7 linked regions of the Macaca fascicularis genome follow. The protein of the gene in region 1 interacts with the protein of each later gene in a biochemical or structural test. Links are inferred from orthologs where the notes say so. Each region holds a gene or a part of one and is shown in the gene's direction. Other genes may lie near its edges. The genes, in order: SMAD3, TFE3, SKI, LEF1, SMURF2, NEDD9 and ERBIN.

The links.
Region 2: the proteins of SMAD3 (region 1) and TFE3 form a complex in vitro, tested with the Homo sapiens proteins (2 studies listed by BioGRID). The link is inferred for Macaca fascicularis from reciprocal best matches to the Homo sapiens genes SMAD3 and TFE3.
Region 3: the proteins of SMAD3 (region 1) and SKI form a complex in vitro, tested with the Homo sapiens proteins (8 studies listed by BioGRID and IntAct). The link is inferred for Macaca fascicularis from reciprocal best matches to the Homo sapiens genes SMAD3 and SKI.
Region 4: the proteins of SMAD3 (region 1) and LEF1 form a complex in vitro, tested with the Homo sapiens proteins (2 studies listed by BioGRID, with this or other methods). The link is inferred for Macaca fascicularis from reciprocal best matches to the Homo sapiens genes SMAD3 and LEF1.
Region 5: the proteins of SMAD3 (region 1) and SMURF2 form a complex in vitro, tested with the Homo sapiens proteins (2 studies listed by BioGRID and IntAct, with this or other methods). The link is inferred for Macaca fascicularis from reciprocal best matches to the Homo sapiens genes SMAD3 and SMURF2.
Region 6: the proteins of SMAD3 (region 1) and NEDD9 form a complex in vitro, tested with the Homo sapiens proteins (2 studies listed by BioGRID). The link is inferred for Macaca fascicularis from reciprocal best matches to the Homo sapiens genes SMAD3 and NEDD9.
Region 7: the proteins of SMAD3 (region 1) and ERBIN form a complex in vitro, tested with the Homo sapiens proteins (2 studies listed by BioGRID). The link is inferred for Macaca fascicularis from reciprocal best matches to the Homo sapiens genes SMAD3 and ERBIN.

What each region holds. Positions count from the first base shown.
Region 1 is NC_088381.1:43,874,575-43,878,074, forward strand, and holds part of SMAD3 (mothers against decapentaplegic homolog 3), read left to right. Parts: coding exon 1-53; intron 54-219; coding exon 220-351; intron 352-1,085; exon of another isoform or gene 1,086-1,154; intron 1,155-1,430; exon of another isoform or gene 1,431-1,609; intron 1,610-1,696; coding exon 1,697-1,771; intron 1,772-3,228; coding exon 3,229-3,408; intron 3,409-3,500. UniProt on the Homo sapiens protein: Receptor-regulated SMAD (R-SMAD) that is an intracellular signal transducer and transcriptional modulator activated by TGF-beta (transforming growth factor) and activin type 1 receptor kinases.
Region 2 is NC_088395.1:49,189,299-49,191,918, reverse strand, and holds part of TFE3 (transcription factor E3), read left to right. Parts: intron 1-1,932; coding exon 1,933-2,080; intron 2,081-2,620. UniProt on the Homo sapiens protein: Transcription factor that acts as a master regulator of lysosomal biogenesis and immune response.
Region 3 is NC_088375.1:232,546,674-232,550,850, reverse strand, and holds the start of SKI (ski oncogene), read left to right. Parts: upstream 1-1,377; 5' UTR 1,378-1,825; coding exon 1,826-2,794; intron 2,795-4,177. UniProt on the Homo sapiens protein: May play a role in terminal differentiation of skeletal muscle cells but not in the determination of cells to the myogenic lineage. Functions as a repressor of TGF-beta signaling.
Region 4 is NC_088379.1:113,780,145-113,784,418, reverse strand, and holds the start of LEF1 (lymphoid enhancer-binding factor 1), read left to right. Parts: upstream 1-1,474; 5' UTR 1,475-2,643; coding exon 2,644-2,856; intron 2,857-3,330; exon of another isoform or gene 3,331-4,141; coding exon of another isoform or gene 4,142-4,150; intron 4,151-4,274. UniProt on the Homo sapiens protein: Transcription factor that binds DNA in a sequence-specific manner. Participates in the Wnt signaling pathway. Activates transcription of target genes in the presence of CTNNB1 and EP300.
Region 5 is NC_088390.1:71,145,891-71,149,390, reverse strand, and holds part of SMURF2 (E3 ubiquitin-protein ligase SMURF2), read left to right. Parts: intron 1-631; coding exon 632-769; intron 770-3,500. UniProt on the Homo sapiens protein: E3 ubiquitin-protein ligase which accepts ubiquitin from an E2 ubiquitin-conjugating enzyme in the form of a thioester and then directly transfers the ubiquitin to targeted substrates.
Region 6 is NC_088378.1:161,565,300-161,569,276, forward strand, and holds the start of NEDD9 (enhancer of filamentation 1), read left to right. Parts: upstream 1-1,177; 5' UTR 1,178-1,361; intron 1,362-3,977. UniProt on the Homo sapiens protein: Scaffolding protein which plays a central coordinating role for tyrosine-kinase-based signaling related to cell adhesion. As a focal adhesion protein, plays a role in embryonic fibroblast migration.
Region 7 is NC_088380.1:71,776,542-71,780,041, forward strand, and holds part of ERBIN (erbin), read left to right. Parts: intron 1-404; coding exon 405-497; intron 498-968; coding exon 969-1,043; intron 1,044-2,491; coding exon 2,492-2,599; 3' UTR 2,600-3,500. UniProt on the Homo sapiens protein: Acts as an adapter for the receptor ERBB2, in epithelia. By binding the unphosphorylated 'Tyr-1248' of receptor ERBB2, it may contribute to stabilize this unphosphorylated state.

The sequences.
Region 1 (3,500 bases):
GAAGGACGAGGTCTGCGTGAATCCCTACCACTACCAGAGAGTAGAGACACCAGGTATGCTACCTGGCCCGCCTGTGGGGACAGCAGGTGCTGGGGTCGTCACCTCTCCCCCGACCCCCCCACCCCCCCCGAGGGTCTGTGGTGCACTTGGGGGTGCGGGGACTTTGGTGCTGGTCTGGCATCGACACTGAGCCACCTCTGCTCTGTCTCCCCCGGACAGTTCTACCTCCTGTGTTGGTGCCACGCCACACAGAGATCCCGGCCGAGTTCCCCCCACTGGACGACTACAGCCATTCCATCCCCGAAAACACTAACTTCCCCGCGGGCATCGAGCCCCAGAGCAATATTCCAGGTAGGCACGTGGGCGGCATAGGCTGACCTGGGAGGCAGGGGCAACGGTCAGACATCAGTCCTGTGGCCCCAGTCTCTGCCCCCTGGCCGTCCCCCGTTCATCCCCTCTCTCTGCACAGCTCTGGCCTGAGGGCCCCTGACTCAGAACCACATCCCTGTTGGGAGAGGACCCATGACCTCAGCTCCCCCCTTACTAGTGATGCTTTTTTTGGCATAGAGGAGCAGCGTGACCCTTCCGCCCGGCCTTGGTGCAGTCATTTATTTTGGAAGCGGAAATAGCAACACTGTTTCTCTCACCGCCCATGAGGCCGGGACTGGCGTTCAGTCCCCAGTGGACCGGGGGTCTGCAGAGGCGGGGAGTGAGCTGAGGGCCAGGCAGCAAGTGCGGAGAGCTGGTTCTGTAAATTCGCCTGGGCATCGGGCCTCGGTGAGGGGCCCCAACCTGGGTGGGAATTGAAGGAACTTTGAGTTTTCACTCTGCAGGGAGAAATGGGCTTTGCTGTCAAAGACTGCAAATGTTTTTAGAAGCCCCTCATTTACATGCAAATAATGTGTGAATCACCAGCACTTTCCGACTCCAGGAAAGCTGTGCTTGGCAGCACTTGGGTAGTCACTTTTGCTTGCTGGGGCAGTAATCCTGCTGCGTTCCTCTTAGAGCATGCTAATTTGGACGTGACGTTCATCCTGGGTTAGTTTACTGAGCTGAGGTTGGCTACAGACCTGTGTGCTTGGGTCAGAGTGTTAAGGAGAGACCCACTGTCCAACCTTCTCAGATCCTTTGCGGGTAGCCCTGGCGTCCCAGGGGTAAGTCAACTACTCTGTGTTCAAATAGCAAACTTTGGAGGGCTTCAGTCAGGGTCTGGGGGAGGTTTCAGAGAAGTAGATCGCACTGTGTTTGCGACCATTGAATTTGTAACCTAACTGCTGAGTGAGGACACATCCCCTAGAGACGGTAGAGGGTGGGTCTGAGCCTGCAGGTCTTCAGAGGACAAAGAGGGGTGAGGCAGAGGCAAGTCCAGACGCCTCCCTGGAGGGGGTGGGGCTTAACCCTCACCTTGAAAGACCAGGAGAAGTTAGCCTGGTGGAGGCTCTAGGAGTATACACTTCAGACGTGGGAGTTGGTCCGGTTGTGCGTGAGCAAAGGCAGTTACGATCCAAGTGGGAGTCAGAGGTGGACAGGGGCGAGGACAACAGAACCAAGAGCTGGAACCTCTACTCCGAGACCTGGAACTCCTGCAGCCAGGGACACTAGCATCATGGTGTGCATGTGTGATGTGTTTGCAAAAGGTGTCTCAGAGCCCAGCTGTGAAGGCCTTTTAACGGACCTCCTTCCTTCTCATTCCCAGAGACCCCACCCCCTGGCTACCTGAGTGAAGATGGAGAAACCAGTGACCACCAGATGAACCACAGCATGGACGCAGGTCAGTCATGCAGGCATATGCTCTTATTCTTAACTGATTAGCAGCCGGTGGGTTCAGCCCTTCCATCCCTTCCTGTTCGCCCCCTTCCTCCCTCTCTCCTCTCTCTCTCCAGTATTTGTAGAGCAACCATGATGTGCAAGGGGCAGGGCATAGGAGAGGGTCCGAGCTGCCCACGGATGATGGGGGAGATTGACAGGACAGCCAGCAGTCACTGGGCCATCTCGTGTGTGCCCTCATGGAAGATGCCGCATGGCACCAGGCACACAGCAGGGCCACTTCATCTGGTCTGGGGAGGAACAGCACCTTGCAGTCCAGGTTTTTCCCCACGTTGAGTCTTGGTGATGTGTAGGTGTTAGCCTAGCCAAGCTGTCAGAGTGGGCAAGGGGTGTGCCAGGCAGAGTCATGGGAATTGGGCAATTCTGGGTGCATTCTGAGCCTGGTGCATTCTGGGGACAGTAAGAGCTCGGTGTGTCTGGAGTCCGGAGAGTGTCCAGCCCAGGGAGCTCAGCATGACTGGAGGATACACTCTCTCCAGTGGGGAGAATGATGGGAGGGCCTACCACACAGGGCTCCGGGTGTGATGGACCTTCAAGCTGGCAAGACCACTTGGCATTGAGTCAGGGCTGATGGGAACCACTGCAGGCTGTAAGCAGGGCCTGGGCCTTAGTGAGATGTCACCGGCAGCAGGGTGGAGAGTGGCCTCGATCACCTCAAGAAGTCAGGTGGGAGGCAAGAAAAGACTGAATGGAACTAATGCCTCTTCTGATGACCAGTGGAGACCCCTGAAGCCAGTATTTTTGTGTGACAACCACATGTGATATGTGTGCTCCTGCCGTGAGGGGCAGGCTTTAGTTCTCGCCTGCTACATCTCCAGATGTTTTCCATATCATTTGTTATAGGACCAAATTGGCTCCAGACCAGCAGCTTCTTGAATTGAACCCCAGCTGCCACATAGAATGTGTACTGAGTTGTGTGTGGTTGGGAGAGGGGGAGAAGGGGAGAGGGAGCCACGCAGATGTTCCATTCTGATGGTGGTGGGCATGCCTCATACGCACAGAGCCGCTAGACACAGCGGAGCCACCTGCCCTCGCACACAGCCCAGAAGAGATTGTGCGGTTCCTTCCCCCACCCGCCCCAGACGGAGTCTCCCTCTGTTGCCCAGGCTGGAGTGCAATGGCGTGATCTCAGCTCACTGCAACCTCTGCCTCCTGGGTTCAAGCTATTATCGCGCCTCAGTCTTCTGGGTAGCTGGGATTACAGGCAATGCAGCACCACGCCCAGCTCAGTTTTGTATTTTTAGTAGAGACAGGGTTTCACCATGTTGGCCAGGCTGGTCTCAAACTCCTGACCTCAGGTGATCCGCCCGCCTCAGCCTCCCAAAGTGTGGGATTACACCGCATCCAGCTGAGGTTGTGCAATTCCTGAGAGAACGAAAGAGATTCGCATGTCCGTTGTAGTTGCTGAAATCCAGCCTGGACATCGTGGCACTTTTGGGTTGAGCACACCCGGTGGAACACACCCGCCCGGCGGAGTGGCTAGCAGCGCGAACCAGCTGGAATGCATCGAAGACCTTCCTGTATCCGATGCCAAGAGACGGCTGCAAGCTTGCAGCTCTTCAGTGCAGGCACGGGAAGCAGGCCAGTGGAGCAACATGTCTCCAGCTGCTGTGTGTCTCCCCACTCTGCGCTCCCTCTTCCCCCTCTGCTGCTCTCCGTATTTGCGCAGTGAT
Region 2 (2,620 bases), on another chromosome or scaffold:
AGAGCCAGACTCCGTCTCAAAAAAAAAAAAAAAAAAAATACAAAAAATTAGGCCGGGCGCGGTGGCTCAAGCCTGTAATCCCAGCACTTTGGGAGGCCGAGACGGGCGGATCACGATGTCAGGAGATCGAGACCATCCTGGCTAACACGGTGAAACCCCGTCTCTACTAAGAAATACAAAAAACTAGCCGGGCGAGGTGGCAGGCGCCTGTAGTCCCAGCTACTCGGGAGGCTGAGGCCGGAGAATGGCGTGAACCCGGGAGGCGGAGCTTGCAGTGAGCTGAGATCCGGCCACTGCACTCCAGCCTGGGCTACAGAGCGAGACTCCGTCTCAAAAAAAAAAAAAAAAAAAAAATAGCCGGGCGTGGTGGCGGGTGCCTGTAGTCCCAGCTACTCGGGAGGCTGAGGCAGGAGAATGGCGTGAACCGGGGGGGCGGAGCTTGCAGTGAGCCGAGATCGCGCCACTGCACTCCAGCCTAGGGCACAGAGCAAGACTCCGTCTCAAAAAAAAAAAAAAAAAAAAGATGGCCGGTGCGGTGGGAGGGCAGGTGGATCACGAGATCAGGAGATCGAGACCATCCTGGCCAATATGCTGAAACCCCATCTCTATTAAAAATACAAAAATTAGCCGGGTATGGTGGTGGGCACCTGTAATCCCAGCACTTGAGGAGGCGAGAGGGGTGGATCACTTGAGGTCAAGAGTTGGAGACCAGCCTGGCCAACATGGTGAAACCCCATCTCTATAAAAAATACAAAAAAAATTAGCGGGGCATGGTGGCACAGGCCTGTAATCCCAGCTACTCAGAAGATTGAGGCAGGAGAATCGCTTGAACCCGGGAGGTGGAAGTTACAGTGAGCTGAGATTGTGCCACTGCACTCCAGCCTGAGTGACAGAGCGAGACTCCATCCCCCACCCCCTTCCCCCAAAAAAAAGGAGAAGAGAAAGATTTATTTATTGAGCCTCTGGTTTGTGCCAGGTACCATATTAGGCCCTAAAGATACCAGAGGGAGGCTGGGCATGGTGGCTCACGCATATAATCCCAGCACTTTGGGAGGCCGAGGTGGGCAGATCACGAGGTCAGAAGGTCGAGACCATCCTGGCTAACACAGTGAAACCCCAGCTCTACTAAAAATACAAGAAATTAGCCAGGTGTGGTGGTGGGCGCCTGTAGTCCCAGCTACTCGGGAGACTGGGACAGGAGAATGGCGTGAACCCGGGAGGCTGAGCTGACAGTGAGCTGAGATCGCACCACTGCACTCCAGCCTGGGTGACAGAGCAAGACTCTGTCTCAAAAAAAAAAAAAAAAAAATACCAGAGGGAACAAAACAGACCTCATGAAACTGATGTTTTAGTAGGGGCAGACAAATAGTAAATAAGTAAACATCCATGAGATCCATTATGATGAGTGTTATGAGAAGAATAAAGACTGGAAGGAAAATGGGAGAATGTTGGAGAGGGTTACAGTTTGGGGTAAGGAAGGTGAGGATAGGGCAGGCCCCAACTGACAAGGAAACGTTTGAATAAAGATCCTAAGGAGGCAAGGGAGGGAGCCGCATAGGTGTCTGGGGGTAAGAGTATTCAAGGCAGAGGGCACAGCTGGGATTGATGCCCTGAGATGGGAATGGTTTTCCGTATTCTAGGAGCACTGAGATACCAATGTGGCTGTAGTGAGATCAATCAGAGAGACATAGGGAAGAGAGGAATCCTAAGGGGTCAGGTCAGAGACGGCTTCCAGGGTTTGGAGTGTGATGGGGCACCGTTGGAAGATTCCAGGCGGGAAGTTTTCCTCTGGGTACTCCATATCTTTAAAGGACCCCAGCCTCAAGTTCTAGGCATGTGGTGGGAGGTTCCCACCTGGTGCAATCCCCGCCTCAGCTCCTGAGAAACCCCTCATGTGGCATTTCCCACTTGCCTCCCACTTGGGCCCCACAGGGAGATGCGCTGGAACAAGGGCACCATCCTGAAGGCCTCTGTGGATTATATCCGCAAGCTGCAGAAGGAGCAACAGCGCTCCAAAGACCTGGAGAGCCGGCAGCGATCCCTGGAGCAGGCCAACCGCAGCCTGCAGCTCCGAATTCAGGTTTGAAAAGAGGAGATGGTGGTGGGGGAAGTAGGGGAGAGCTTCCTGCAGGTGGAGACAGAGAGAAAGCGGGCCAGGGTTTCCCTTCCTGGCATACTTGGGGTATCCCCGGGCTTCCCAACTCACATGATGGTGATAGTGATAATGATAAGTAATAATCATAATGTTAACAGGGATAATATTGCTAACGTACATAACTTTTAGCTTGTGCTCTGTACTGTGACAAGAGCTTTATATTCACTAACTTATTCAATCCTCACAATTCTATGAGATAGGGGCTTTTTTTGTTTTGTTTTGTTTGACACGGAGTTTTGCTCTTGTTGCCTAGGCTGGAGTGCAATGGCACAATCTCGGCTCACTGCAACCTCCGCCTCCCGGGTTCAAGCAGTTCTCCTGTCTCAGTCTCCTGAGTAGCTACGATTATAGGCATGCACCACCACGCCCAGCTAATTTTTGTATTTTTAGTAGATATGGGGTTTCTCCATGTTGGTCAGGCTGGTCTCAAACTCCCGACCTCAGGTGATCCACCTACCTCAGCCT
Region 3 (4,177 bases), on another chromosome or scaffold:
CCTCCCCTGGAGACCACCTGGCCGACTGTCCAACTTCGGGGCCCCGGGCTTCCCGCTTCCCGCCCTGCCATGGCTTGGGTCTCTCCCACTGCGTGGCCAGGCGTGGAGGGCCGACCTGGCCCCGAAAGCCGTCTCAGCGCTCCGAGGCCCTGGGGCGGAGGGCAAGGGTCTCGCCGGCCTGCCCGCCGGGACCCGCGGGACCGAAATTCTGATAAGCCACCTGGCCGGGGTGGCTGGCAAACCGGCCGCGTCGGGGGCACCCGACGCCGCCCCTCTCAGGCCCGAAACCCCTGGCCCGCGCATCAGGGACAGTCCGCCCGGGGCCGTCGGGCGGGGCGGGGCTGGCGCGGGCGGGAGCCGTGGACACTCGGCCACCGGGCCACGGGGCAGCGGGGGCCGCTGGGCTGCGCCGCCAGGGTCACGCGGCGCGGTGCCTGTCTCGGCGCGGGGTCCCTGGGCGTGGCCGCTGTCCCCCTCGTGTGTGGTACCCCAGGTCACCGTGTGGCGTCCCGGTAGTGTGTGGGACCCCAGAGGCGTCCGGGGCCTCCCCGCTGTGTGGCGTCCCACCCTGGGAGAACCCCGGCTGCGTGGCGTGGCCCCCCGGCCTCCCCCAGCTGGTTTGCGGTCGTGGCGGGGGCCTGTGGGTTTCTGGGCCCCGGCGGCGGCGAGACGGGCGCCTTCCCAGCCGCGCAGGAAGCGGCCTCGGCCGGAAGGGGGGCCCCGGGCGCCACCGCCGCCTCCGCCTCCGCCCGCGCCGAGCGGCCTTCGACGGGCGGGGCCGAGCGGGGCCGAGCGGAGTCGAGCATGGCCGAGCGGAGCCGAGTCCTGGCCGAGAGTAGCCGAGTCGTGGCAGGGCGGGTCCGAGCGTGGCCGAGTCCCGGGCGAGCGGAGCCGAGCGCGGCCGAGTCCGGGCGGGGAGCGCGCGTTCCTGGAAGAGCCCGACTGGGGAGCGGGTCACATTCTTGGCCAGCGCTCGGGCTGAGGCGGACGCACGGCAACAAACAGCGCGGGGGGCGGGGCCGGCGCGGGGCGGAGCAGGCGGCGCGGGGCGGGGCGGCGCGGCGGCGGCGTGAGCTCAGCGCCGGGCGCTCAGTCCGAGCCGGAGCGAGCCGCCGGGAGGATGTGCGCCGAGCGCCCCGAGCCCCGCGCCGCCGCCGCGCTCTGAGGGCCGCGGGCGAGAGGCGCCTCCGCCGCCCCGGAAGCCGGGCGGGCGGGCCGCGGAGCCGGCGGGCGGGCGGGCCGGGGGCCGGCGGCGGGCGCGACGCGGCCGGCCAGCGCCGCCGGGACGAGCCGGGCGGGCGCCGCGCGGTGGGAGGAGCGGGGCGGCGGCGGCGCGCCGCGCGAGGACGGCCCGGCGGGCCCCGCGCCCGCGCCCCCGCTCCTCCCGGGCCCCTCGGCCTCGGCCGCCGCGGCGATTCGCGCCTCGCGGCGCCGGCACCTGCCCGCGCGCCCCCCGCGAGCCCCGGGCCCGCGAGCGTTGGCGTTGGCGTTGGCGGCGCGCGCCGGGGCATGCCCCGCGCCTAGAGCCCGGGGGGCGCGCGGGGGACGCGCGGGGGGCCCGGGCGGCGGCGGGCGCGGCGCGGGGCGCGTGGATGTGGCGCCGGGCCCGGGCGGCGGCGGGCTCCAGCGGCGGGACCCCTTCGCCCCGCCCGCCTTCCCCTTCGCGCCCCCGGGCGAGGCCGCGGCCGTGATCGGCCGTGAGCCGGCGGCGGGGGGCGGCCGGGGTCGGGGCCGCGGGCGCCGCCGGGGCGCGCGGGGCGGCGGCGGGGGCCGGGGGGGCCCGGGCGCGCGGGAGCGGGAGCGGCCGGGGGAGACGGAGCGCACCATGGAGGCGGCGGCAGGCGGCCGCGGCTGCTTCCAGCCGCACCCGGGGCTGCAGAAGACGCTGGAGCAGTTCCACCTGAGCTCTATGAGCTCGCTGGGCGGCCCGGCCGCCTTCTCGGCGCGCTGGGCGCAGGAGGCCTACAAGAAGGAGAGCGCCAAGGAGGCGGGCGCGGCCGCGGTGCCGGCGCCGGTGCCCGCAGCCACCGAGCCGCCGCCCGTGCTGCACCTGCCCGCCATCCAGCCGCCGCCGCCCGTGCTGCCCGGTCCCTTCTTCATGCCGTCCGATCGCTCCACTGAGCGCTGCGAGACCGTGCTAGAAGGCGAGACCATCTCGTGCTTCGTGGTGGGAGGCGAGAAGCGTCTGTGTCTGCCGCAGATCCTCAACTCGGTGCTGCGCGACTTCTCGCTGCAGCAGATCAACTCGGTGTGCGACGAGCTCCACATCTACTGCTCGCGCTGCACGGCCGACCAGCTGGAGATCCTCAAAGTCATGGGCATCCTGCCCTTCTCGGCGCCCTCGTGCGGGCTCATCACCAAGACGGACGCCGAGCGCCTGTGCAACGCGCTGCTCTACGGCGGCGCCTACCCGCCGCCCTGCAAGAAGGAGCTGGCCGCCAGCCTGGCGCTGGGCCTGGAGCTCAGCGAGCGCAGCGTCCGCGTGTACCACGAGTGCTTCGGCAAGTGTAAGGGGCTGCTGGTGCCGGAGCTCTACAGCAGCCCGAGCGCCGCCTGCATCCAGTGCCTGGACTGCCGCCTCATGTACCCGCCGCACAAGTTCGTGGTGCACTCGCACAAGGCCCTGGAGAACCGGACCTGCCACTGGGGCTTCGACTCGGCCAACTGGCGGGCCTACATCCTGCTGAGCCAGGACTACACGGGCAAGGAGGAGCAGGCGCGCCTCGGTCGCTGCCTGGACGACGTGAAGGAGAAGTTCGACTACGGCAACAAGTACAAGCGGCGGGTGCCCCGGGTGAGTGGCCCCAGGCCTGGGAGCAGGGGTGGATGTGCTTGCGGTGGGGGACCCTTCTGGGCCACAGGCTCTGGTCTCCAAAGGCTGGGACCTGTGTTTCTGCCGTGCCCCATGTGTCAAGTCTTTGCTTTGTTTTAGGGAAATTCAGAGTGTTCCCCTTGGCAGGGCCAGAGGGTTTAGTAGGAAGGCCCTCCTGCCCTTTCCCCCAGGAGGAGCCTGGAGTGGGGGCTGTGGCGGTGGGGTGGGGGCTAGGCCTGGTGTGTGGGGAAGGCCCACAGGCCCATAGCCTTTGCCCAGATAGGATAGGAAGGCACAGGCCTCCTATGCTCCCGGGAAAGCGGCCTGCTCCGAGGTCAGGGAAGTTAGCTCCAGTTGGGCCCCAGCCGGATGCCTCAGGCCCAGGTCTTCCTTGGGGTTGGGGTGGAGGTGACTGCCCTCACCCCGAAGGCACCCAGCCTCGAAGACGGAGGGCTGCCTGCCCTTGGGCCCCAGGAGACAGAGCTTGGGCGAGACGAGGCCTGGTTTTGTTACTGGCTCCCGGTCCATGTTTGTTGCCTTGAAGTTTTGGGACAGAGACACAAAATGAAGCCAGGTGTTCAGGCTGCAGCGACAGGGGCCTGAGACTGGGCGGCTCCAGCACTGTGCTGGTTGGTCTCCCTGGGCCTGCCAGGGACCAAATCCCAGAGTGCCCCGTGTGGGGTGAGGGCCACTTGGCACCCGGCTGAGGGCCTGGTCAGCAGGCCCCTGGGCCCACATGCTGGAGTTACTGGCGGCTTGGGATTTGTTTTGGACTCACCCATTTCCTTCTCTCCTTCTGAAACGCAGAGGGGTGCGCCGGGGAGGGAGGCCGCTGGCCTGGCTTTGTAGTTTGCCAGTTGGAGGATCTACGGGATCCGGCATGGGCAGCTCCCAGGCCACGAGGCACCGAAATTACTCAGTGGGGTCCTCAGGAACTTTCCGTTGCATACCTCCCCAAGTATGTGTAACTTTTCTTTTAAATATCCAGGCTTATTAAATTGCACACACAGAATGCTGCATTGGCTCAGCTATTCTTGGGAGGCCTAATTAATTCAGCTATTGCATCAAACTTTTTTTTTCTGAATCTGTGAATAGATGCTCCAGCCCGGTTTTCTCTGGGCGCCCCTCCAGCAGAGTGTCAGATCGTGGGGAGGAGGGGCTGTGGATGGAAGCGAGGGACTGTCGCCTCTGCGCGGAGGGGGCTGCGGAGGGTGCATGTGCGTGTGCCTGTGTGTGTGCGTGTGTGTGTGCAGGGGTGCTTCTGACCCTGCCAGGCCAGGGCTCAGGTGGCAGCTGCCTGCAGACCTGTGGGCTGGGGACGGATGCTCGTGGCAGAGCTGCAGACAGACCTCGCAGGCTGGGACC
Region 4 (4,274 bases), on another chromosome or scaffold:
GTAGTAGTTATTAGTAGGTGAAGTTTTAAGTGCTCACTTAGATACAGCATTGTTAAAATCTTTACCCATTCAATATTCAGCAGCCTGAAATTTCACCTTTAGGAAAATAAGAGGAATCTTTGCTAGACCATTCCTATATAACAGAGCAAAATCTGATTCTGTAGTGTTTTCCTTATTTTCAATTTAAGGGAGATGAAGATACATTTCTTTATGTCCTTTGTTTACTGTTCTGAAGTTTTACAGATGGCTACTGTATTGGATATAATAATTTTGCCTAGATTTTTAACAGAGGGGGTTTGAGAACCAAGGGACAAAATGTAATGTGTTTTCAAACTTCAGCTTCCCTTCTGCTGTAACTTTCACAAAGTATCTCCTGAAAACTCCTGTCTTTGTACAAAATGCATCAAAGACATAGTGGAGACTGGGGAATTTTTGAGGTTGTATTCGGATTTGCATCTTCAAGGGTTCCTTTCAGCTCGCAGTCCAAGGTGCCAGGGACTACCCCGTCCTCCCTCCCTCTTTTGGCTTTGCTCTCCCGAGTCCTTTTGCCTTCTCTTCCCCCTTCTTGGATTATCTTTTCATTCTCGATGAGGTTCCCACACACTGCGGTGTGTGTCTTTGAAAACCCACGAGAGACCTAGCACAACTCTCCGTACATCCCGTGGTGAGGACAGAATGAAAGAGATATTGTTTAAAAAGCAATAATTAAAATCTAGTCTTCAGTTCCTTCTTCCTCGTCATATTTTTTCTCGGTAAGCCTGGAGATTTTATTTTCACTAGCGTGTTCCCTTGTTTCCAAAGAGCGTGTGTATGATATTATATTCGGGAAAGCCACAACTCTCTTTTCCTTGTCCTTCTGTTCTCTCTTAATAGTTGAGCAATGTCTGTTATATTTTTCCCTTTTCCTTCTTTTCTCAGTCCCAGATTCCCGCCTCTCCCCACTGTCAGAGCATCTATCAATGTGGTGTCGATCACAGCGGCGGCGGCTTTCTCTTTCATCTTCCTCCCCCGGCCAGAGCGAGGGAGGGAGAGTGGGAGGCGTCAAGGAGGTAGGGGAGAGACTGGCAGAGGAAAAGGAGTGGGTGGGTGGGGGCCAAGAAAATAGATACTTAGATGATGAAGTCAAGCCATTGCGGCAATGTTTCTTGTCAATTTCACGCGGGCAAAGCGTGCCTCTCGGTGGGTTATAAGCAGCGCCGGGTCATTCCTTCTCTCGCCAAGTTGCCTGATCCTTCCCTCCAGGCGCGCGCGCACACACACACTCACACACCCCAAAACCAATACTCGTCCTACAGGATCTGGGAAAAGAAAAAGAAAAAAAAGCCCTCAATCACCACCTCCTTCTCGCCGACTCCCCCTCACCCCCCGCCTCCCCTCCAGCGGGCAGCCAAGGAGAGCTGGAGGCGGGGGAGGGGAGAGGGAGGAGAAGCGACGCAAGTGGGTAGCTTTTCAGCGCCGGCTAGGCGCGGGAGGAGGAGAAGCAGTGGGGAGGCGCAGCAGCTCACCTGCGGGGCAGGGCGCGGAGGAGGGACCCGGGCTGCGCGCTCTCGGGCCGAAGAACCAGGACGCGCCCGGAGCCTCGCACGCGGCCAAGCTCGGGGTGTCCCCTCCCCTCGGCTGGGCGAACCCAAGGGGCGCAGCTCTTTGCTTTGACAGAGCTGGCCGACGGAGGCGTGCAGATCCGCGAGCCGGCTAGCCAAGCTGAGAAATTCGAGCCGGGAACAAAGAGGGGTCGGGCTGAGTGTGTGTGTCGGCTCGAGCTCCGGGCAGAAGCATTTGGGCCCGAGGTCCCCGCTGTGACTACCCGAGACTCCGCCGTGCCCTCCACTGCGGAGTCCCCGCGCTTGCCGGCAAAAACTTTATTCTTGGCAAACTTCTCTTTCTCTTCCCCGCCTCCTCGGCCCCCACCTTCTCCTCCTCCTCCTTCTCTAGCAGATTAAATGAGCCTCGAGAAGGAAAACCGAAGCGAAAGGGAAGAAAATAAGAAGCTCTAAAACGGACATCTCCAGCGTGGGTGGCTCTTTTTTCTTTTTCTTTTTTCCCACCCTTCAGGAAGTGGACGTTTCGTTATCTTCTGATCCTTGCACCTTCTTTGCTGGGGCAAACGGGGGCTTTTTGCCCAGACCCCCTCTCTTTTCTCGGCAAACAAACTACTAAGTCGGCATCCGGGGTAACTACAGTGGAGAGGGTGTCCGCGGAGACGCGCCGCCGGACCCTCCTCTGCACTTTGGAGAGTGGTGCTCCCTCCAGAACCGGCGTCCTCCGCGCGCAAATCCCGGCGACGCGGGGGGCGTGGGGTGGCCGCCGGGGCAGCCTAGCCTAGCGCGCGCCGCGCAGACGCCCCCGGAGGCGCCAGCTACCGCGGCCCTCGCCGCCCAGTGCCCTTCGGCCTCGGGGGCGGGCGCCGGCGTCGGTCTCCGCGAAGCGGGAAAGCGCGGCGGCCGCCGGGATTCGGGCGCCGCGGCAGCTGCTCCGGCTGCCGGCCGGCGGCCCCGCGCTCACCCGCCCCGCTTCCGCCTGCTGTCCTCCTGTACGAACCCTTCCAACTCTCCTTTCCTCCCCCACCCTTGAGTTACCCCTCTGTCTTTCCTGCTGTTGCCGCGGGTGCTCCCACAGCGGAGCGGAGATTACAGAGCCGCCGGGATGCCCCAACTCTCCGGAGGAGGTGGCGGCGGCGGGGGGGACCCGGAACTCTGCGCCACTGACGAGATGATCCCCTTCAAGGACGAGGGCGATCCTCAGAAGGAAAAGATCTTCGCCGAGATCAGTCACCCTGAAGAGGAAGGCGATTTAGCTGACATCAAGTCCTCCTTGGTGAACGAGTCTGAAATCATCCCAGCCAGCAACGGACACGAGGTGAGCGGGCCGCTGCCCCAGTTCCGAGAGGCGTGGCGGGTCCCTGGGAAACGCAGAGAGGGAGGAAGGGAGGGAAGGCGCCCGGCCGAGGGTCCCGAGTAGATCCCTCGTTTGTTTTGGGGTGTGTGCGTAGCTGGGGCCCCGGTCCGCATTGCATATATGTGTGTGTGTGTGTGTGTGTGTGTGTGTGTGTGTGTGTGTGTGTGTGTAGAATGGGAGGTAGAGGGGCAGGGAAACTTATTCCAACTGGATCAGTTTAGGGGGTTCGGTGGCTGAACGGTTGGTTCGTGGGCAGGAAAACGTGCCCTTAACCCACAATGTTTCGTCTTCGGTCTTTTTGTTGGGCTGAGGAGTGCCAGGCTTTAAAGCGAGTATGGCTGAATAACGCTACTGAGAAATTCTTCCGTGGGACGGAAAACAAAGTGCACCCGCTATCTTTTGGTAGATGTCTCTGCAAAAGTGCGTTAAACCACCAGAGGCTTAGGTGGAGACGAGCAGAGCCACAGGCAGGAGGAAGGGGAGGCGGGCGTGGGCTGGGGCAGGCGGGGCCGTCCCTACCACCGCCGAGACCGGCCGCAGGGAGCCGGCCGGCCTAGGGGGCGCGCGCCCGGGCTGCGGGGGCGGTGCGGGGTTCAGTCCCTGCGGCCCCAGAGCCTGGGCTGGCAGCTGGGAGCTGTGGGTGCGCCGAGCCGAGCCACCCCAAGCTGTACCGCCCCCAACTCTAGTTTTCTCCAACCGCCATCACTTGGAAACAAACCCACAACTTTTATTTGGGGTTTGGGACCGGATCAGGCCTTAAATCTATGTAAAAGAAAGGCGGAGAAGCGGCGGAAGCCGGACACTAGTCCGGCAGGGCGGAAGGCGCTTTATCGGGTCTTCTGGTCCGCTGCGGGCAATAGAGCTGGTAACCTGAGTAGAGTAAATAGAGACACGTGGGTGCTGGCTGGAGAAAGCGCGGAGCGGGGCCGCGCTGGAGGGCTGTTTGAAGCCTAGTCCAGAGCTGGTAGGGGGCGGATGGACCCTGATACCCGACACTCCACTGGTCACTCTTGTTCCACAACTGGGAAACCTTTCTCTGGAGGAAATCCGGTAGAAAAGTCCTGACACCCGAATGATTTAACCAACGCCTTTTCCCTCCAAAGAAACTTGAAGGATATACCTTTTTTTTTCCCTTAAATGGCATCTTTCTACCCCCAAAAAGAAAGTGTGTGGTTTTGAGGGCGGGGACATTTTGGGTTTTAAACAGCGCGTTTAAGAACATCTCAGATCTGCCTTCTCTATCCCAATGGCAGAGGTGAGTACGCATTTTGAAAGGCTGGGGGCCTGCGTTCAGAGAACAGAAGGGTGTTCTTTACCCGTTGAATCCAGTTTGAGCGGGATGGGGGCGGGAGTAGGGTGCACCTAACCCCGCGTAAAAG
Region 5 (3,500 bases), on another chromosome or scaffold:
AAAAAACTAGTATATTCTATTTTTAAAAGTACTTTATATGATTATTTCCTCAATGTGATGTAAATTCTGTTCCAAACCTGCATGTGTTAGAATAGCAAATTCTTGCTGCCATTGCTTTTAATGAAGTGGCGATTGTTGGAACCATACTTTTAGATAAGAACTAATTGTTGAATTTAAGCTAAGAACTGATTCTGTTTTGCAAGAGGTCGTTATTTTTATGAAGATACACTGGAAATGTTTATTTTTTATAAAGTATACAGTGGCTTTCTCAACTAGGGATACACAGGCACTTGGCCCCTTGGAGTACAGTACCGAGTAGCGCTCTTCAGAATGCCAAATATAACTGAAATTGTCCTATATTGGTGGTTCTAGCAAGTCCCAGCTTTGACCAGGGCTCTTTCTCATCACTCAGGAAGTTAAATGTTTCCTGTGTTTATGCAGGTTAAAGCTCTTTGACTTTTCTGTCCAGAAAGAACTAGGTAGTGTGGTAGTTTAAGAGTTCATAAGCTGAATCTGACCTCACATTTGTCATATTATAAAATGATCTTAGTTTTATCTCACCAGTTAATACATCTATAGGGTCTGTATTTTAGGTTTCCCAGTTACCTATCTCTTCCTCTTTCCTTTCCAGTGAGAATGATATTACAGGTGTTTTGGACCATACCTTCTGTGTTGAACATAATGCATATGGTGAAATTATTCAGCATGAACTTAAACCAAATGGCAAAAGTATCCCTGTTAATGAAGAAAATAAAAAAGAATATGTCAGGTAAACACTCCTGTGTTCTCAAGGCTGAATTTTTTTTAAATGTTCTAGGATGTTAGTATGAACAAATTTAAATATTTAGATAGTATTACTTAGTGTTACAAAATCCGCTTCAGCAGAATTTAGTGGCTTATTAAGAACAGCCATTTTATTATTTCTCACAATTCCAAGGGTCAGGAAATTGGGCAAAAGAACAACATGGATGACACACTGCTGTTCCACAAGATGTCAGCTAGGCCTGCAACACCAAGATGGCCTCTTCACTCATAACTAGGATAACTCAAATGGCCGAGGGCTAGCTGGCATGGCTGTCGACTGGGGTCACTGGCTGGGTCCTAGTTCTCATTGTTGGCTGAGTTCCTTGGTTCTCCCTCTGTGATATCAAAGGCCATTCCCTCTCTCCATGACCACTCCCTCTCCCCATAGCCACTCTTTCTCCCTGAAAAGTTTGTCCCTTCATTGTAATGAAGGTTAATCATGTTACCCACTGTATTGATAGACTTCTTATGGGGTGGCCAGCTTTCCAAAGCTCAAAAGCAGAAGCTGCTAGATCTTTTTAAGGCCTAAGCCTGGTCCTGGCCAACATGACTTCTGTCTAGTTCTGGTTAAACTGAGACAGCCAGCCCAGTTTCATCATGGAAGAGGAGCTGTACAAAGGTGTGAATACCAGGAGATGTGGGCAATGGGGCCATGTGTGGTGTAGCTATCACAGGTGGCAATTCAGAAGGGCTTTTGTGCTGTATATTACTAACATTTAGCCTGTTTATAAACAAGCACATTGTGAGTTTAGGGATAAATGTAAATAAATGTTTTTCAGATTTCATAAAGTAAATTTGAGGAATTTTTATGTATTGGGCTAATTTGGCTTATGAGAAATAAAAAGTCTACCAAACAAAACTGTGGTAATCAGCTTTGGAAGTTTGAACTTGAACTTTACTGTATGTACACAGAAACTTGCATGCTATACTTTTTTTGTATAGATCATGTTCTCAAATCTTACTAACATTGTTCCTAGTTTAAAAATGAGGTCCACTTGATTGGAGTGAACACTGGCATAGCTTTTCTGGAAAGTGGTTTGATACCAGCAGTACATGCCCTTTAGCAGCTCTGTGTTTAGGACTCTTCTGCAGAAACACACATGTAATTGAAGAAGTACAGGAAAGGATGGTCAATTAAATACTACTTGTAAAAATTACACTACTAAAATCTTTTTAGAGAAGAATGATTATATTATACATTCAACAGAATATTATGTGGATATTTAAAAGAAAGACTGCATAAGCTGTCATATTTTAAAACTAAATCTTACAAGAATTATGTAGGAACAAAGTCTATGTTTTTTTGTTTTGTTTTGTTTTTTGTTTTCTTTTGTTTTTCTTTGAGACAGAGTCTCACTCTGTTGCCCAGGCTGGAGTGCAGTGGCACAATCTTGGCTCACTGCAACCTCTGCCTCCCAGGTTCAAGTGATTCTCCTGCCTCAGCCTCCCGAGTAGCTGGGAGTACAGGTGCGCACCACCACACCCGGCGAATTTTTGTATTATTGGCAGAGATGGGGTTTCACCATATTGACCATGCTGTTCTCAAACTCCTGACCTCATGATCTGCTTGCCTTGGCCTCCCAAAGTGTTGGGATTACAGCGTAAGCCACCGTGCCTGGCTGGTTTTTTTTTTTTTTTTATAATTATACTGAAGATGTTCAGGAGGCTGCAGTCAAATAAAGTTTTTGCCTAGGATGAGGGAGTGGAGGTGATGGGACTGGAAATAGGGAGGAGAAAGAGGGTAAAAGAATGGACTTTCATATTTTACTGTCTCCATAGTTAATGTTTGTTTTTTTGTTACATGCATAAAAAGTATGTATTACATTTCTACTTTAAAAAATGAAAGAACAGGCTGGGTGTGGTGGCTCATGCCTGTAATCCCAGCATTTTGGGAGGCCAGAGTGGGTGGATCAGCTGAGGTCAAGAGTTTGAGACCAGCCTAGCTAACATGGTGAAACCTTGTCTCTACTAAAAATACAAAAATTAGCCAAGTGTGTTGGCAGGCACCTGTAATCCTAGCTGCTTTGAAGGCTGAGGCAGGAGAACCACTTGAACCTGGGAGGTGGAGGTTGCAGTAAGCTGAGATCACACCACTGCACTCCAGCCTGGGCGACAGAGCGAAACTCTATCTAATATAAATTTAAAATAATAAAAAAAGAAAGAACAAATGAGAATTTCCTAAGTCTTAGCAGTATCTCCTTTTCAAGACCTCGTGTGTCCTGCTCAGTCCCTGGATCCCACTCTCCAGGGTTCAGTCGTGTTTACAGCACACGGTACTAATGTCTTGCCAGCTACAGTTTTGAGATTAAAAATTACAAAGAAAAATTTTTACAGTTGTACAGTTTTTCTGTCCCCTTAGCCCAGCAAACAGAAATATGGTCCTCCAAAGGATGTGTTGTTAAGTAACTTCTCTCTTGAAGTGGAGAACCATTTCTCCAGATTTGGAAATGGTAACAAATTTGACAGATGAGTAAGTTCTGTGATGTGTGAGATGGAGAGGTCTTCTTGGGTAGGTAGATAAATAAAAGCAATTCACTTATAAATCATACAGTCACACAGTAGATGTAGTTTAGTGCATTTTTTATTGGTAAAATTACATCTTCCAGAATTTTTATATCCTCTAGAGAACAATGATTATTTAATCAAAAAGCACTTGCTATTGGCTTTTACTGTTTCTTCTCATTTTTGGTTTGAGG
Region 6 (3,977 bases), on another chromosome or scaffold:
TTTAAGTGTGGCATCTTTGTATGAGCAGAATATTCTTTAGCAAGATTTGAACAAGCTCAAACATTTAAAATTAAATGAATTTCAGAGAAGTCTTACAGAAAATTAAAACAAAACAGAACAACAACAAAAGAGATGCCACAAGAGCGCAACACACATGAGCTGAGTCTGATGGGTGGGACCAAGGGCGGCCCTTTCTTTGTCTTCATGATGGAGCAGGAACAAGTTGGAGCAGAAACATCAGGCACCACAGGATCATTTGGGGACATCCATTATTCAAACCACCTCTCTCTCTTTCCTCTCAACCCTCTATGTCCTCAAGGCATTTGCTAGGCACGAGCAAGGAGTGGAAAATGAGGAAGGGTAGGAAAATAGCAAAGATCTCAGTTGATAATAATACAAAGTTGCCACTAATGATCATAGCAAACACTTACATTGTGCTTACTCTATTTGTGCCAGGCACTCTTGGAGTGCTTTACATGTACTAATTTGCTTAATTCTCACAACACTCCTGTGACTGTTCCCATTTTACAGATGAGGAGGCCGTGGCACAGAAAGGCCAGAAGTGTTTAAAGAGCAGAGTTATAATTCAAACCCAGGAGGCTTGTCTCAGAGCCACTTGTCTGCTACTCGAAAGCACAGAATGAAGAAGACAAAAGGTGTGGGCTTTCAAATTCCCGTCCACATACACAGATCTAGGCTTCCATATCACATTGTAAGTAGGAAACTCTTTGAGCACCTAGCCCCTAGCATAGTGTCTATTCCAGTGTACAAGCTCAATAAACACTTGTCTTATGAAAGAATGTTTTGTGTCAATTAATAGTGGAACCCTTTGCAACATACGAAGTCCATAAAACCATAAAATCCCAATTCAGTTGGCTTGGAAATGCCTAACTTTTGCTTCAGTGCAGCCTAGGAGGGAGCTTATGCCACGCAGAAAAATACATTTTGACAAATTTCCTTGCAATACTAATTTAAAGATCACCTTTCTAAAAATAGCAAAGAAGCCAGATGAGAACAAGCTTTCTTACCTGTCCCTAAACTACAATGTCCTCAGCGAATCAGAAAGTGTGACCGAGAAAAAAAAGAAGAGGCACAGAGAGGAAATGAACCAAGACAACATCACTTCACAGCAACCGGAAGGAAAAACACACATATACATACGCCACTCACATCCGACGTGTGTGGTGGCTCAGTAGGGAAATGCTTACAGCTGCCTTTAGAAGCAAGTCCGCTCGCTGCATGGAGAGGGAAGCATGAGCCTGCAGCAGGACTAGCTGTCACCTCCCGCCCGCCGGCCCAGAGACAGGGCCAGAGCGTCAGGGAGGCAAAATGATCCATCGACGGTGCCATCCTGCCCTTGGGTGAGTTCTCAGCCACTTGCCGTGGCCTGTGGGAGAGGAGGGACTCACTCAGGCTCCTACTTCCTGAGTCGGTGCCAGACATCTGGTGGTGTTTCCCCACTGTGAACACCCCTCAACTGGGTCAGGGAGGATCTCCACGTGCCCCAAAAGAGGAATGAGTGACTCCAGGTCTCCGAGTTGACCTGGAGGTGCTGGTTTTAGTGCAACATTCAAACCCGCAAGATTTCTACTTTTGAAATTGTTCTGGGTGGATGCTTCCTGGTGCGTAAGTACATGGCCCCTCCCCTCTTCTTACTGTTGTCAGAGAGCTTACCTGACAGCAACTAAGCTTTTTTTTTTCCTGAATTATTTCAGTACTTCAAGGTGTGAGCCGTCACTTATTCTTTATGATGGATTAGAATCATTTACGTCCTTTTCAGCCTCTTTGGGCATGAGTCCTGACTGGCTAGAAATGGTGACTGAGAATTGGATTCTGTGTGTCCTATCCCTGTAGTCATTAGCATCATCTCCAAGGGACTGAGGACAAGTGACAGCACACTGTGTTCTCCCTGTCCATAGTGGGCCACCCAAGAGTTCCATCCTTACTTTTCTCTATGTTTATTCTTTCACTTAACCCATTCATTCATTTCTTCCTTCCTTCATTCATTCAATTGCCTTTCTTCCATGAAGGACTTGAGGCAACCTTTTCATCTTGCTGAAATTATTTCAAAATGAAGACCATCTATAATCACAAAGGGGACGATCGTTCTGAAAGGGTTATATGTAGTTCCAAACTATGCAGAGATCGGCCACCAATCTTTTCCCTTTGCTTGTGTTGAGAAGTGAGAGTAGGCACTCTAGTCATTTAAACTCCTGCATAAAGAGGCCCTCCTTCCCCTGCCCAGAAGCTGGTTTCTCACCCAGAATTGGGTGTAAAGAGCAATTGTCCATGGCAGAATCCTGGAAATCAGCCAAATAGTTTTCTTCTTTGTTTCTGTTTTCTTCCAAGCTTGGTTACTTTCAAGGACATTCCCGTTCTAAGAATGTGGGGAGTAGAGTTGGTGGAAAAGAAAGGATATGAAATCAGTGTTCAGCTAGCGCTCCACCATTTCTTGTTAATTGGTTAATTTATTTAACACCTATTTAGTGGCTGTCACTTTGTACGTCACTACTTAAACAAGATAGCTGGGCGCAGTGGTGTGTGCCTATAGTCCCAGCTTTGCAGGAGGCTAAGGTGGGAGGATTGCTTGAGCCCAGGAGGTCAAGGCTGCAGTGAGCTATGATTGCACCACTTCACTCCAGCTTGGGTGACAGAGTGAGATCCTGTCTCAAAAAAAAAAAAAAAAGAAGAAGAAGAAGAAGTAGGAGACTAGGAAGATAGAAGCAGAGGTGTAGGAGAGGACAGGCTGTACGGGTCAAATGATGTAATTCCTGGTGTCTCTTCCTCTACATGTAAATAAGGGGAAAGAGCTATATTGAATGGCTGTGGTAAGGATTAGATTGGAAAGCAAACATTTAAGCATCTGGCAGAGAAGGGGTGTCCGAAGTAGTCAGTGTCCTGCCTCCCTCCTCCAGGCCTCACTGACTGAGCTGGCTGCTGACAACCTGAGTCTTTAACTCATGACCTGAGAGCTTTCTCCAAGTCACATAGGGCCAACTGCAATTGCCCAAATGACAGACGAAAATTCCCAGAAATGAACTCCTCAAAGGCTGTAAATATTTCAGCTCCCTCAGTCCTGAGTGGAATAATCTACATGGGATCAAGCTCCAGTTGCCCACAGTGGTGGGGCCCTTTATGGCTTCTCTCCTTCCCTGTATACTCCTTCACTCCCCGTCAATGCTTCCTGGGATCATTTCTTAAACTACGTGTCCTCGAACTCTGCATTGGGTCTACTTCCGGGGTAACCCAAGCTAAGACCACCAGCCACCTCCTGCTGTAGGTACTTAAAGAGTTTAGTACTCTGTTCTCCAATGATCAGCTCCATCTCCATTTGACCTTAGACTCTGAGTTTTGATTTCCCACATATCCATTCAAGGATCCCCCTTCTCTTCTTCTGGATTTGGCTTGGAGAAAGGGCACAGGCACAGCTCAGGGAGAGCACCTTAGGCTCAACGTTTCTTCATGCAAACCCACACAGCACAAAGATGTGTCCTACTGCAAATGACCTTCACTTTGTCCTGCTTGTCTGTCACCTTCACAACTCATTTGATCAAAATTTCTGTAGTGTGAAACACAAATAGGAGAATTTTGTGTAGCACAAGATGCATAGACAAAGCATGAAGTCACATTGAGCCTGATCTTAAAGCCTTTCTAACTCTTGGCTCCTTACTGTTTTAACAAAGAGAAACTCCATCTGAGGCTCGGAGCCATCAACAGGCACTGGTAGCTAGCTACAAATTATTAACATGGCTTTATTTTCCTGTACGTGTTTTTTATGATTACCTTGTATTAAACCACAATGGCCTGTTTTTTTTTTTTTTTTTTTTTTGTAGGAGTGGTATAAACATTTCTTTTAAAATATAAATGTATTTAAGTTTTTTAAAAAGTGAGTTTATGATTATTATTTTTTTTGAGACAAAGTCTCGCTCTGTCACCCAGGCTAGAGTGCAGTGTGACTCACTGCAACTTCTGCTTCC
Region 7 (3,500 bases), on another chromosome or scaffold:
ATCTTACGAAACAAGCCACTAAACAGAGATACTGTGTAATTTAGATGTCCCACAAGTGGAAACTGATAATAATATACATGTTTTGTGTTTATATACTATGGCATTAAAATCTATGATGTCTAAAAAGTAAAACAGGGTCAATTTTAATTGATTCCTATCCTTATAAGACAAGCAATAAAATTAGGAGCTATGCTTTATATAATCTCAGCTCTGCCTTTAACTCACTAACTCATTAACATAATATTCTATGTTGTATTTCACTTCATCTGACCAAATGTTTATTTTTGATGAATTCTTATGTTTATGTTTGCTTGGACTTAACCCATCAGTATTTAAATATAGATGTTGTGGCATTATAACTTTTTCTGAAATAGTAAGTTTCCTTTATTTTCATATTAACTCAGATTCGAGTGAGGGTTGAAAAGGATCCAGAACTTGGATTTAGCATATCAGGTGGTGTCGGGGGTAGAGGAAACCCATTCAGACCTGATGATGATGTAAGTTTTCTTTGTATATTCTTGAAACACCTATAAAGTTTTATTTGCTGATTCAATACTTATATGTAAGTGAAAATCTAGTAGATGTTTATGTAAATCTAGGTAGACATCACCTTGATTCCCCACTCTATTGCTTACCTTTTTGTTTTGTAATTTGATCAGTTCAAGTTAAAACAATTTAACCAAAAACTATGAATGTTTGTGATATTATCAAGTGATCTTTAATTTTCTTATTGCTTTTTCACACATCTATAAAAGCAATTTTATTACTCTCAAGAGAAATCACTGAAGTCAGAATTACTAGAGGTAAAAATAGCTAGTTTGTTACAGTATTACTCAGAGAAGTCAGGGAGAAAACTTGTACCGTGATTGAAATATTTGCATGGTGTGGAGGAGAAGTTGCTCCTTGGTACTCTGTTATTTATACATACTGTTTTTAGTTAAATAAACAATTTTTTTTTGTTATTAAAGGGTATATTTGTAACAAGGGTACAGCCTGAAGGACCAGCATCAAAATTACTGCAGCCAGGTGATAAAATTATTCAGGTAATTAAAATAAATCTTTGTTTTTCATTTTATAACACTCTAATGTTTTCATAGTTTAAAATGTTTTCACTTCAACTTTGAAAATCGTGGGAGGCTGAGGCAGGAGAATGGCATGAACCCGGGAGGCGGAGCTTGCAGTGACCTGAGATCACGCCACTCTACTCCAACCTGGGCGACAGAGCGAGACTCAGTCTCAAAAAAAAAAAGTTTGATACATCATAGGATTTTGTTTAAGCTCAGGAATGTTAATTTTTACTAATTTGAGGGGGATTAGAGTACTACTTCTTGGATGTGGGCTATTGGCCTTTCAGAAATGGAGAAGAAAATTTTTAAATCTGAGAAACTCATTTTTTCCTGTCCCTTCCTTTTCTTTGTTCTTTCAGCTACTCATTTTACGTAAACACTTGCAGTCTTAGAAGAAGACAAGCCTAGGACACAAGTCTAGCTCTCATTTTCTACCCCTACCATCACTGTTCTTAGTTGAGAACTAAAGAACTAAAAAATAACCCTCAAACCAAGAAAAAAAAAAAGAGAGAGACATTAATATCTAGTAGCTGAAAGTACAGATTCTGAAAACCAGACTTCCCGAGTTTAAATTCTGGTTCCAACACTTTTTAAAAATAAAATTAATTAAAAAAAAAAATTTAAATAATTTCAAGCTTAGAGAAAAGCCACAAAAATAGTACAATAAACACCAATATTACATCATTTGGTCACCAGTTGTTCATAATTTGCTACATTGTCTTTAGCGTTTATTCTCCTCTTTCTTCTGCTTTTCTCCCTCCGTCTATACACACACACACACACACACAGAGAGAGAGTCACACTCACTCATACACTCATACAGTTATACGCGTTTATTTTCCTGAACCATTTGGGAATCTGTAGTTTCAATTTGTGACCGAGCAAGTTACTTTACCTCTCCATGCCTGGGCTTTCTCTTCTCTAAAATAAGATGGTGAAAGAATCTTTTTTGAGCATTATGAGACTCAAAGGATCTAATTCATATTACACACTTAGAATTGTGTATTTGGTACACAGTAGAACCTCAGTAAATATTAACCTTAATTGTAAGAAATATGGTGGTCTTGATGTGATGGCTTCAAGACAATCGGAAGGCTAGCCCTTGCCCCTTGCTGTGCTACAGTTTGGTCACCTCAGACGCACATTAGCATTATACAGCACCATGTCTGACATTATTTCTTAGTGATTCCTAACATTGAACTGCTACATGAGAATTGTCTGAAAAGTTGGACAAAACACACATTTCTAGACCCCATCTTCAGAGACTTTATTCCTTGGTTTGGGTAGGGCCTGTGAATCTACATGTTATTCTAAGTTGCCAAAGTGATTCTTATTTTCTTACAGGTTTGTGAACTACTTGGCAGAAATGCAAATAAATTACTATAAAATGTTTTTCCTAAAAGCATTTTTCCTCTTTCTTCCAGGCTAATGGCTACAGTTTTATAAATATTGAACATGGACAAGCAGTGTCCTTGCTAAAAACTTTCCAGAATACAGTTGAACTCATCATTGTACGAGAAGTTTCCTCATAAGCACTGTGGACAAAAAAAGGGGGGAAGACAGCAAGATTTATTGGAAGATACTTGCAGGGGAAATTAATATTTTGACTATTTTTATATATAAAGAAGAACTCAAAAAATTATGTTCAAATTTGTACATTAATGAAGTAATGGAACTTGTGGTTAGAGGGAAAGAACCACTGTACAGAATATAAAGGAGACTGTTGAATTCATACCATATAAAACTTGTTAGGTTTTTAAACATAGCAATCAAGGCTACAAAAACAAACCTGTGTTGTTTTTGTATAGATTGTAGGTTTATTTTTGGATTTCATATACATGACTGAACTGTGTGCAAGGCAATAGTTAGCCTTGATTTTAGCCCAGAGACAGATGGCAGAGCTATCTCTCTCATAGCTTTTATGCCCTTATTTTTATTCAACTGGTATTAATGTTTTTCTCCTGAAACTACTTTTTTTTGATGTGGGTAAGAGATTTGAAGTGTTGGCTTTTGCTATGTGCATATTGAATTGAAGAGTGAGTAGGTGAAGGTGGTGCTGGTGGGTTCACTTTCCAAGGCCAGATTAAAACAGTTATTTTCTATAAAAATCTGGAAGCAAAGAATGGGGATGGGGGGTACTATGTGGTAGTATGTTTTTATTAAGAGAATAATGCAATAAAATAGGTAATGTCTTTTTTATAAAGCAAAAAAGACAATAATTGCATTTTATGAGCTCGGCAGGATCTGTTCTTGTCATAGCCATTGACTATACATTTCCTACTGGTGATTCAGTTTTTAATTTTTTAGTCACAGGAAATTTTTAACTCTACTGTGGTTGCATGTCCATGCATTCTCTGTGTTATGGAAATCCCGATTTTTTTTTTTTTTTTTGCAAATGGTGGTACTTGCAATCTGTTTTATAATTAGCGCTCC